Linked DNA regions of Solanum lycopersicum. The protein of the gene in region 3 interacts with the protein of the main gene of each other region in a pairwise test. Links are inferred from orthologs where the notes say so. Each region holds a gene or a part of one and is shown on either strand. Other genes may lie near its edges. The genes, in order: protein PEP-RELATED DEVELOPMENT ARRESTED 1, chloroplastic; heat stress transcription factor C-1; E3 ubiquitin-protein ligase BRE1-like 1.

Evidence for each region.
Region 1: the proteins of E3 ubiquitin-protein ligase BRE1-like 1 (region 3) and protein PEP-RELATED DEVELOPMENT ARRESTED 1, chloroplastic interact in binary tests that used the Arabidopsis thaliana proteins (3 or more experiments, as listed by UniProt). The link is inferred for Solanum lycopersicum from reciprocal best matches to the Arabidopsis thaliana genes HUB1 and AT5G48470.
Region 2: the proteins of E3 ubiquitin-protein ligase BRE1-like 1 (region 3) and heat stress transcription factor C-1 interact in binary tests that used the Arabidopsis thaliana proteins (3 or more experiments, as listed by UniProt). The link is inferred for Solanum lycopersicum from reciprocal best matches to the Arabidopsis thaliana genes HUB1 and HSFC1.

What each region holds. Positions count from the first base shown.
Region 1 is NC_090808.1:43,952,801-43,956,924, reverse strand, and holds the start of protein PEP-RELATED DEVELOPMENT ARRESTED 1, chloroplastic, read right to left. Parts: upstream 2,931-4,124; 5' UTR 2,468-2,930; coding exon 2,138-2,467; intron 1,660-2,137; coding exon 1,504-1,659; intron 810-1,503; coding exon 741-809; intron 647-740; coding exon 476-646; intron 1-475. UniProt on the Arabidopsis thaliana protein: Plays an essential role in early steps of chloroplast development. May be involved in the redox control of plastid gene expression by maintening the redox state around chloroplast nucleoids.
Region 2 is NC_090811.1:1,914,589-1,918,511, forward strand, and holds heat stress transcription factor C-1, read left to right. Parts: upstream 1-1,236; 5' UTR 1,237-1,723; coding exon 1,724-1,927; intron 1,928-2,084; coding exon 2,085-2,990; 3' UTR 2,991-3,358; downstream 3,359-3,923. UniProt on the Arabidopsis thaliana protein: Transcriptional regulator that specifically binds DNA sequence 5'-AGAAnnTTCT-3' known as heat shock promoter elements (HSE).
Region 3 is NC_090810.1:7,003,638-7,007,882, forward strand, and holds the end of E3 ubiquitin-protein ligase BRE1-like 1, read right to left. Parts: intron 2,461-4,245; coding exon 2,323-2,460; intron 2,249-2,322; coding exon 2,046-2,248; intron 1,943-2,045; coding exon 1,777-1,942; intron 990-1,776; coding exon 858-989; 3' UTR 592-857; downstream 1-591. UniProt on the Arabidopsis thaliana protein: E3 ubiquitin-protein ligase that monoubiquitinates H2B to form H2BK143ub1. H2BK143ub1 gives a specific tag for epigenetic transcriptional activation and is also prerequisite for H3K4me and maybe H3K79me.

The DNA.
Region 1 (4,124 bases), on a different chromosome or scaffold from region 3:
AAACGAGGGAGTATCATTTTTGGCCCTGATAACCAAGTAAGATGGCATCTGTTAAAACTTGACATTACCATGACTTGCCTTTTTTTCTTCATTTTTATAAAAAATTAATATTTCAGTAACTTGAGAACAAAAATAAATAATGAATTCAGCATTGAGCACAAGTTTCTTACAGCTTACATATAACCAGCATCAACACTACAAATTGTCTGACCAAGATGGCTGAACAGAAGTTTTAACATCAATAGATGAAAATATTGATCTAACCATTTTCCAAAATGTGTTACATAATGCACAGTGTGGTGCCTTATGGTCTCTACAAACCAGATGTTCCATACCATGTAAAGTTTGTGGTTTCTAATAACCTGCACCCTAAGGGACCCGCAGCCAAATGAAATTGATGCAAAACAAATTATTTTAGACTTAAATACCAAAAACTGGTTAGTCTCCTGACTATGCATATACATTAAGAGCCTACCTCCAGAATATCATCCGCTTGGTTAGCTATATCATTCAAATTTGCCCCAGGAAGATGGACTTTTGTCCCATTCTCACTTTGAAATACTCCACCACCAGCAGCAACTCGCCTGAGCAATTCATGTCTGCTTTCTTTTTGAGGAGTTCTACAGAGCAGGCCTATGACTTGAACCTAGAAAACATACAAATCCAATTCAATGTCAGATCAAAGACTAGAGCATCAATGCTGCTAATAATGTAGTCATTCAGCATACTAGCATACTCACATGAGGGGGGCACTTCTTGGTAAGATGGGATAATACAGTCTCCTTGATAACTTCCAAGAGTGATTTGCGCTAAAAGAAACAACTTTGTTAATCACATACCCACCCAGAAAACCTCTTGTATCAATGCAGTACTCTACAGGAATCAAATGGACATGAACTGGGCACAAAATGGAAATATATATATAATATATATAAAAAGACTATAATATGGATCAGATATCCAGCTTGATATCTAATCAAATAACATTCAGTCTAGCCAACAATCAAGGAAAATTGATTATAGAGAAGGTTCCCTTTAATGCCTTTAATTCTTTAATTATCGCTTCTTCAACCCGATGCTCTTGGCAACTTTTTCTATCAAGAAATAAATTACCCATACGATGAAAAGGCTAAAATGAGAGAACCTGACTATTTACTAGAGAAATCAGCATCAATAAGCTTCTAAATGAGACACCTATTACTTCATTACATCTTGTACTAGGCAAAAATTACATGAATATCATCAACAACAACTATTTGTTACTAATCCATCTCCAATGGCAGCACACAAATTATCTTACCACAGAAAATGTACCAGATGTGTCGACAGTGAAAACTAATAAATCAATTGCTCATGGCAAAATAATGATAGGTGGGACTATGAAGTATAAACCACGCATACTATGAAATCGAAATATGATTCCACGAACAAAAGAACTGGTTAAGGGAAAATAACAAGGAAAAAAAAAGAAAAAAAAAAGATCAGGAACCTTAATAATACTACCTTATCATCCTGGTCGTTGTCAGCAGTTTGGATCATGTAATCAAGGGCCATCATGAACCCGGACTCCATTTCATCAACTCTTTTCCCAATCACTCCTTGTGCAGCCAATTGCACTGCTACCTCCTCAGATGCTTCATCCATCTTCATATCTTCCAACTGTTTCATAAAATATGTATCCAACAAAGTATATTGACGAGATGAATAACTACTCCAGCTGACATACTGAAGTAACCACATAAGCGACTTGAACGGAAAAAAAAAGGGGGAAAATTCTATCTTTTTATTACTTACATATTTGTATCCATACCATTATCCATTTCAACATCACAAATTAGTATACAGGATAAGCTTCATTTCTAGGGTTACTAGCTATCAAGAATTAAGACCACACCCTTCAGATAACAATACAGAGACTTCATAAAATTCCTAAGAGAAGCACATTCACATGGACTGTGAAATCCTAGTACCTCTGATATTTAACTTGATTAACAATTAAACAGGAACAAATTCAATGAACACCTAAAGGGTTTAGGGTTTAATTTTTCTAGTAATCAAACACACAGAAGAATTGTAGTTTTAAAAGTATATCATCACAAAGACAAATGAAATATAATACAATTAAGGGAAAACATACTAGCTTGGCCATTTCTTCAAGGACGGAGGTAACTTGTTCACCACCTTTAAGAAGAACTTGATACTGAGAAGTATCAAAATCTCCGACTTCATGTCCATGATTTTCCATTCTTCCATTTTGAGCTCCGAATTCCTCCGCCAAAGAACCTGCGCCGACCTCGTTACTCGTACATAATGCCGAAAGGTTCAGTCTGCAGGATGTCTTCAGCTGCAATGAATACTGATTGGGGATTTCCGGTTGAAGAAAATAGTATAGTGATGGAGTCGAGTAACGAGATAGACTTGCAGGAGTAGCTCCACAGAAAACGATAGGGATGGACAGAAATGCCATGGATGAAATGACCAACGACGGAATTACAATCTTTTCTTTTGGGGGGTGGAAATGGAGATATTGCGGGAGAGGGGTAAGATCATTGTTATTATTATGGAAAAGGTCAAAATATTCGTAAACTATTTAAAATAATTCATATTTAAATTAAAATTACCTTTTTAAGAAGATAGCACTAAGTATGTTTGTTTCTAGCCTGCAAGCTTGGCCCAAACTTCAATTCATAGCACTAAGTATGGTTGTTTCTAGCCTGCAAGCTTGGCCCAAACTTCAATTCATACATCAGTTTCTCTTAGTAGTTTGGTACTCTTCAAGCTTCTTATAGGCCAAACTTGTGAAGCTTCACAATGGAGTTGCGAAAATAAAAATATATGAAGTTTTCGAAATGAATACGAGAAATTAGGGGAAAGGGGTGATTAAAATGGTTTCAAATGGAAATAGAAAAATGAGAAGAAGAATTAGGATTAAAATCTTATTATTAGTCTACGTGGAAATGAATGAAATTGGGGAGCTTATATGGTATGTCATGTGGCATTCACCTTTAACAAGTTTCATTAATAAGAAGGATAATTTTGACCCAATAATATTACAAGAAGCATAATTTTGGGCCGAAATATAGTTTAAGAATAAATATAAGTTATTTCGAATAATTTAGAGGAACTTTTGAGCATTTTCCATTATTATTATCACTTGTTTTGTTATATTTGAATAACGTGTCACAACTACAAGCTTATAACTTTTGACATCGTCTTTGTCCTTTTGGTGTGAATCGTGTAATGATATGTAAATCACTTAAAATATATAAATAGTACTATATAAGCACTATGTGATACGCTCGACTCATAAAATATTAAAATGATTAATTCCAAAGTCATCTATACACTACAAACCAAAATCGTCAATATGTAATCTATAAAACAGAAAAAAGGAAATGAAAAATACGTCAATCCACCATCATATGGTTAAAAACCATGACCGTCCATGTCATTTTCACCTTCTCCATTCTAATTGAGTAAATCCCCATCATATTTTTTTTTTTTGAATTAAAAATTCACCTAAATATTTTTGTTTCCTTATAAAAATATTTGATACATCTTTCCTGGTGAGATGGCATATGTATTATTATAATATTCCCTTTTTGTTTACAATATATTTTTTACCTTTTTGAATCATCCATATTTAATGGGGATAATGGTATAGAACGACAAATTAATAATATAAAATAAATATAGTAGTTACCGTTTTGATTTATTTGTGTTTCATAAAAAACTTTTTGTCAGTCACTCTCTCCCTCATATTATCGCTCGCTACTCTCCCTCTCTCGCTCGCTTCCTTTGCTCGCCTCTCTCGCTTTATACAATAGAATTGTATAAATTGTGTATCTAATTGTACAAAGCGAGAGAAAATTGTATATACACATGCAAATACATATATCTCCGTCTTATTCACTTACAATTATAAAATAAAAATACTTTCCTGCCTAAGTCTCTTTTGTCTTTCTCTCTTTCTCGTTTTATACAAATTCAAATTGTATATAATTTCTCTCTTTCTCGTTTTATAAAATTCGACTCAATAGTATATTCTCTGTCCAAGTCTCTTTTGCCTTTCTCCTTTCTCGTTTTATACAACTCAAATTGTATATAATCGTCATATACACTTA
Region 2 (3,923 bases), on a different chromosome or scaffold from region 3:
TTCCTATTAAACGTTTTACAAGATTTTACATTCTTAACATCATGAAAAAGAATTAAAGTATTTTTATAAAAATACACTCGTTAAAGAACAATTTTAACAATATATTTTGAGATAATATTTTAAAAGTAAAAAAGCTAAAAATTAATTAAACTGTATCGATACCAAGAGTAGTAGTTAATTTGAGAGTTCTAAAACTAAAATAAACTTAAAAAAAAATATTTCAAATGGAGTGAAAAAATTATAATTGTACCAATAAGAAGGTGTAACGTATTAAAAAGTTACATGCCACGTGTCGCTTTTCTGCGGCAAGTGCACGAGAAAATAAAAGTACTTTATTATTATCTGGCCAAAATCTTGTGAAAAATATATTAAAATATAAAAAAAAAATATGAAAACGAATCGGTATTTCCAGCACCGAATCTAAGGCACTGTTTGTAGTTGTCTCTTTGAGTTACACCATTATCAATTTTTCGAAAAATATTGTAAATATCCTTAAATTATATGTAAATTATAAATTATTAACAATCTTGAAAATAATAAGTTTCACGTTTGTATAAGAGTTTGAGATCGTGGCTATGTTCATTTGGTAAGTTGAAGGTGTATTTAAACTTAGTTAGTCAAGTAGATAAATCATCTTATACAGTCAATAGTACGAAAACAAAATTAACAATTCTGATAAAGTGTTTTCGATATTTATTTCTAAAACTTTTGATTTTCTTTTCACTTTTCACTATGTTGTGAGATTCACCTATAATATGCATTACTAATTTTACAGTTTGTCAATCTAAAAATTTATCAGTTCTTAATTTTAATTCATCCTCTCTTGATCCTAGATGTCACAAACATGCAACCTTACAGAAATTCGGTATCCTCGTTGATGTTTGATACAATTTTACGACTCAAGTTCATCACACATTCAACACTGATCCTTAAAACGTTTGTACTAAGTGAACTTATACTCCGAGTCTTATCTAAATTTAATGCCTTATTTAAAAAAAATCCAGCTAAGCAATTTTTCGAATCATCCAATCCTGACTAGAAACGTGGCATTGATTCGAGGGGACCACGTAAGAACACCAAGTCCAAACGCCACGCGCTATAGCCTGCGAGTGGTAAAAAAATGAAAATATCTAAGAATCAGGGTCATGACGTGGACCAATCAAATTAAAAAGACCATCATTGTGGTCCCCTTGTAGCACAACCATAAAAATATCATCTAAGCCTTCAAATAATCTCCACGTACCATATTTGTTATTAATTAATATTAATATTACTTTTTTAGAGGCTACTTGGTAGTCGGAATCGATCTATCTTAGAGCCCTACTAATAATTTTCGTTACAAAAATATTTACAGAATACGACTTTTGAATATATAAATTTTGATCAAATTTGATATCTCTAAAATAATTGTTCTAAAATTATAGTATCGCAAAATTAAAATATATTTTTTTCTAATTAATTCCTCAAAATTTAAAATTATTTTTATTTTTATTTTTAAAAATATGAGAGATTATCTACTATGATGCGCGATGATTTAATATTAATATTAATATACACTCAAACACGAAAAAGAGTTGTCTATATAACCATATCCTTTACATTGACATTCTTCTCTACAACCACCACGACTGCCACTGCCCCTAACCTTCCGCCACCGTGAACCTCCGCCCAGCTCAGTGGAGCTCCACCGCGTTGACATCGGAACGATATATATATATATGGGATGGAGGCTAACAATATTATTGCTCCGTTCGTGATGAAAACTTATCAAATGGTGAATGATCCGAAGATTGATGGACTTATAGCCTGGGGAACAGCTAATAACAGTTTCATAGTTGTTGAACCTTTGGATTTTTCTCAACGAATTTTGCCTGTTTACTTTAAGCACAACAATTTCTCCAGCTTTGTTCGTCAGCTCAATACTTATGTGAGTATATTATGTAACAGATTCATATTCAGAATTGAATATGTTTAGAATTGTTAGTTTTTGAATCTGATATGTGTATTGGATTGGATTTCAGTTGAAATCAATTGATTTAGGTTGAATTTTTCTGGTTTTGATTCGAGTGTCTATGAATCTACAGGGATTCAGAAAAGTGGATCCAGATAAGTGGGAATTTGCAAATGAATGGTTTCTGAGAGGGCAAACGCATTTGTTGAAGAACATAGTGAGGAAAAAGCACAGTAGAAATTCGTGTTCTCAGAAGCAGGATGAGAGTGAAGATGAAGAAATTTTGACTGAAATTTCTAGATTAAAGCAGGAACAAAAAGCATTAGAGCATGAAGTTGAGAATATGACTAGAAGATTAGAAGCTACAGAGAAAAGGCCACAGCAAATGATGGCTTTTTTGTGTAAAGTTGTTGATGATCCTGAGATTCTGCCCAGAATTTTAATGGAGAAAGAGAGATCTAAAAGGCTAAGTTTAACAAATCGTGAGAAGAAACGGAGACTTGTGATTTCGAATTCAACGAGTTGTTCCTCAGTGAAGAGTGAAGATGCACTAGGGGCAACATCGTCATTTCACTCACCCGACGCAAATTTCGATAAGGATGCGATCTGTCAGTCCTCACCGTCGTCGGGAACTCCGCCGCCGCCGACGGCCTGGCTAGGTAGTCGGCCGATGATAACTTATGAGCCAGGTACGATACAGTCGATTCGATCTCCTGACGCGAATTTCGATAAGGATACGTTCTATCAATCCTCGCCGTCGTCGGAAACTCCGTCCACGGCGTGGATGAACCAACAAAAAGTCATCATCGGTGGCCGGCCGATGATGATGATTAATGAAGCCTACGGAAGTTGTCCTACTATGTCTAGTACATTGTCAACTGGCTCATCGGAGAGCGGCGGTTTCACCGCTCCACCGATGGATAACTTTTACGGCTACGACTACGGCGGCGGCGGACGTGGTGGTGGAGGAGGTACTCCAGCGACGGAGGAAGCTAGTACACCGCCTTATCCATTTTCATTATTCGGTGGTGGATTTTAGTTTAGTATAAAAAAAATGATTTATAATTATGTGAGCTATATTCGATTATAGCTTTTGTAATTATTTTAATTCATTTTTTTTTATAATTTTTCCTTTTAATTATGCAAATATTCTACAAATATGTAATCTAAAAAAAAGTGAAACCTCCCAAGTTAACAATTAACTATAGGACTAATAAAAATTAGCTAGGGAATACTGTTTCATTTTTTTTTTTGTAGCTTTGCTTAATAATTTTGCTAACTTTGGCATAATTATGTGTGAAGTTTTTCTTTTTTTAATTATCCTTGTTGTTATTGTTTTTTTTTTCTTTCGAAACATTATGTACGGTTTATTTCTTGATTAACATGTCTTTTTTTTTCGAGTTTTAATTTCGGTGTATGAATGGTTGATAACATATTTCTTATTAAGTAAATAAATTAATCATGTGATAAAATAAGTATGTTTATTAATTATGTGGAATAAGATTAACCAATACATCAAGATGAATTGTAGTGCATCGATGAAAGTGTTTCACCCTTAATAAGAGATTTAGGTTCGATTCGGCGACGGAGGAAGAGTATAGGAAGTGTTAGGACGAAAATAAGCATGTGTAAACGCGAAAGCTAGCAAAGGAAACCTCAAAAGACCAAGAGTAAGAAGACAACGAGAATTATACCAAAAGACACAAAGATTTAACGTGGTTCGGTCAATCGTCCTACGTCCACAAAGGAGATGAGCAATCCACTATAAATATGAGAGTACAACATACAGAGGGAAACAACCTCAACCAAATTCACTTATAATACATGGGAGGTTCACACAAGTAATAACGTGTCAAGCTTGTGACCCACAATTTCTTTCCCTAACCAAAACTCTCAAAGTCATTAAGATTACATTGTGAATGCTGATTAAGTTAGAAGGAACATGTCTCTATTTATAGAGTTCTAAACATTT
Region 3 (4,245 bases):
ACAAGCTTATTCATTCAAACTGAGCACTTGCAAAGATGCACGACAAGGTAGTAACCAAAAAATACCCAAATTTAAAATCTTCCTTATAGTTGAACTAAGAGGAAACAAACAAACTCAATCACAACCGCTACAGCAACACAGGACATAATCAAAGATCTCGGGTTCGAGACCCAGGATAATGAAATAAGGGGTCGTTTGGATAGTAGTAATAGTAATGTACGAACTAATTATGCAAGACTTAGTTGGTCCATCTTTTACTTGGCATAAAATAATGCATAAACCCCCTCATGAATTATACATGTATTGGTTCGTGTGCTATATTCTATACATAGCAACTAAAATGCTACAGAACATGGTATTAGTTATGCTAGTTTTAATACATGAGTTTACTTCCTAACCAGCAACTAAAAATTGTGGTTTAAAAAAAAATTATGTTCACCTTTTCAGGCAATTGAGTGAGTATGGGGGAAAACCTATATACTAGGAGAAGCGATGGAGGGGGCGACAACGGGGTGAACAAACTCTATTTGAGGCAATGGATTGGGACTTAATAACAAGGCAATAAACAATAGAACTCAGCAACCAAAGATGTGAACTTAAGTGCATCCACTTAAATAAAGGAAAGGTTAATGAACAAGATCAACAACCTTGGACACGCACCAGCAAAAGATTAACAAAATCATTAACCTTTGGACTAGCACCAGCAAATCCATGCAGACTATCCACTTTCAACCACCAGAATTTTTTTCTGTTTTATGTTATTTCCTGCATAAATATATGCATAGACCATAAGTGAACGACAACCTTGCTTCACAACAGTGACATAATAAAAGGCCTAGACATCCTCATGTTTCTGATCAGATATAAACGGCCTTGACATCATTTGCTCCAAAGCTTGCAGAGCAGACAGGACATTTGCGGTGACGAGTCTCCACAATTTTTTGGATACACGGATTACAAAAGAGATGGTAACATTTTGCGAGGACAACCTGTAATGTAATAAAGAAAACTTAGCTCTCAGAGTGAAATAGGTATCAGATAAAGAGTCTAGCAAAGTTAAATTCTTTCCTCACTAAGGACACAATTACATGTTTGGAGAAAACTAGTTGAACCCAAGGGTGTGGCCTGGTGGTCAATGAAGCGGGTGCAAACCAATCCCGAAAAAAAAAACATAGGCATTATCTTTGTCATGTCTAAACAATAATAAATCTTTATAGGTAATGTTACCTAGTACCTGTTCTAGTGGGAAGTAGCATACCGATGGGATAGTCGAGGTATGAACAAACTGACCTGGACTCCATCGCTATCAAAAAAATATTTGGAGAATACTAGTTCTATTACCACCATGGCAAAAATTAAACCAACCACTGTAACAAGTTAGCTGTCAGGATCTCTTAGAATCTCACCAGATGGTGGACGTAAGCATCACTGTGCTTATTCACATCAGACAAGATCATGTAACAAATTAACACATGTTTGGTTAAATGTACTATTTTTTTGGTAAGGAGGTACTATTCGGTCTCACTACTGGACACTGGTTGTTCCCTAATTCAGAACCATGGATCTCATAACTGAAGAATCTCTTGGATATCGCCATACTATTATCTCAATAACCAATCTAAAGTAAGAACGCAATCTTTTCATCCCATCTGCTGCCAGAATCACAAACTTGCAACAGTGGATCCTACATCAGATGTGACATTCTATAGGTACTTTCAACTTCACCAAACTGATGCTGATCAACCAAATAAATAAGGAAAGGTCAGTCGGTCCAACCTCTTTGCGCCTATCAAAGCAAATACTACAATTGAGTATTTCCTTGTATTCCCTTAGTTTTTGCTGAAGCTTCTCAATAACAGATGACCCTTCAATGTGTGATCTCAAACGTGAAGTCTTTCTCCTCAGAGCTTCTACATCCTCCTCTGCTCTTTTTCTCTCAAACCTAGCCAAGTAAAGCGAAGATCATATAATAAAGGAACATATGAGAGTATTGGTTTAAGATAAATTCATAATGGGTATACAGACAAAGGTTAACCTTCAGTTACCTTTCTTTCTCTAGTTCTATCTGCAACTGTGCAAGATCAACTCGAACTTCGTCGATCTTGGATTGCCATTCTTCCAGCGTCTCCCGCAATTGCTGGGAAGATTTTCTTACATCTAAAAACCGTTTTTGGGTGTTCTCTAAAGCAAGAGAATTCTGACCCCTATCTTCAGCAAGCTTCTGGATCAAGTCTGAGCATCCCCTCAACTGAAAGGAAATACATACACTTAAAGTCTGGAGAAATATAAACATTTGGCACTTCAGAGAAGATATGCAATTACCTGGTCATCAATTTTGGCAGCTTTCATTTCATAGGAACTGACCATTGTATTGGCATCTTCAACTGCTCTCTCTGTGATTTGACTTTCCCAAGCCAAACAATCCCGCTGTTGTCTTGCCCGTACTCCTTCTAAAACAAGCTGTAGAACAGGAAATAAACTAACCACAGTGTACAACATTGGCAGCAGTAGAAACCTGAGACACTAGAAATGCACAGACAGAACGTTTTTTGGAGTACTCTTGAAGCGATGTAAGGAAATTTGTGGATGCGAAACTCTAAAAACCCAACATATCCATGTAAAGCTACAGAAATGTGTCTAAAGTAGTCCTATAAAAGGAACTAATTCTGCAAACATCTTAACCATGAGGGAAAAAAAGAATAAAACAGGCATATAATGCACAACACAATGCTGGAATCTCCCCGGCATCAAAGCAGTGCGGGACAAATTAATGCCACATTCATTGTCAGTCTTACTGAGAATGGATAACAATGAGATTCAATCAAATAAAGCTTAAGAAAAGCAAACCAGGTGCTATTTTTTAAAAGTGGTAATACTGGCCAATCCACTACCGATTAGCCAAGTGTTTACCCTCCCCTGTTCAAAGATAAGTTGGGGTCATGGAAATAAGATCTAACAACAGCTACAAGGAGGAAAAATATTTACACAGATTAGTGCATGAAAATCTAGAAAAGAAAACCCTAACAGGATAAGTTTAAAAATGTAATGCATACAGAAAGGTTGAAAACAAGAAGGCATTCTGAATTAAGAACAAAAAAACAATTAAACAAATAACCCAAGTTGTAGAGTCAGACCAGAACTACCATGACTGAATGGAAAAAAAAGAAAAAAAAAAGAATAATCGCCACAGATAAGGGGGAAATCAATTGAACACAAGTTGCTGTAAATGTCCACGACTTCAGCATTGTCAAAGGCTCGCTTTACACACACTTAAGCCTTGAGGCTATGTGCAAAGTAGTTGCCCGTGCCTCAATTGAGGCCTCAAGGCACTAAAGCATATGCTTTTTCGCCTATAAGTTTTCTTGAAGAGATTTGGCAATAAAGAATAAATATTTCACCTAATATGATATTTTATATTATTTTGTCTAGATAACTGTTTGTTTGCATCTAGAGCCTTTCTTTCTTAAGGGGCTAGCACTTCGTCTGCACTGGCTCTAGAAACCCACTATAATTTTTATCCTTTTCACCTTTGATGAAACTGCTTATTACTCTTGACCATATGTATACACATTTTTTTTACTTATTTTTATTACCCTTTCTTCATTAATGCTCTCACTCTATATTTGTGCTTTGAACACCAACTGACCTCGACTTTTTCTTTCACTCTACATCTTTGACCTTTGAGAACTTGTAATGAGATAATGTGTTGTTCACTGCCAGGTCTTCTACCAACTCTTCAGGCTCCTTGCTATAGTTGTGAGGTAGTCAGTGAGGTTACATGCAATTTGGTTGAAACTTGAAAGCATTCTTACAGTAAAAGATTTTCCAAACTTCTTAACGGTTAAACTACTTTCACTCATTGTGGTTTAGATGTATAATTCTAAGTACTTTTCCCCAAATAAATGTTTATAAGAGAAAAATGGCTGAAGAAAGATGGCCATGGAATTAGCAGCAACTAAATGAGTTTACTGAAAACAAATCCGAATCTGTAAAATTAGATGCAGTAACAAAGTTGCAATGGAATTATTATTTTTTTTAAGCTCGTAACTAGTTACATCATTTTTTCTTAATGACCGTGGTGTCTAGGCCAGTTTTCGCACCTATCGACGAAGGCTGGGACAGATGGAAAGAATCACCTAGTGTTTTTTGTCTCCACTGAGTTTTGAACCTAAGACCTCAAGGTTCTCAACCACTTCATTAACCACTAGGTCACAACCTTGGGTGCAGTTACATCAGAAATATTAT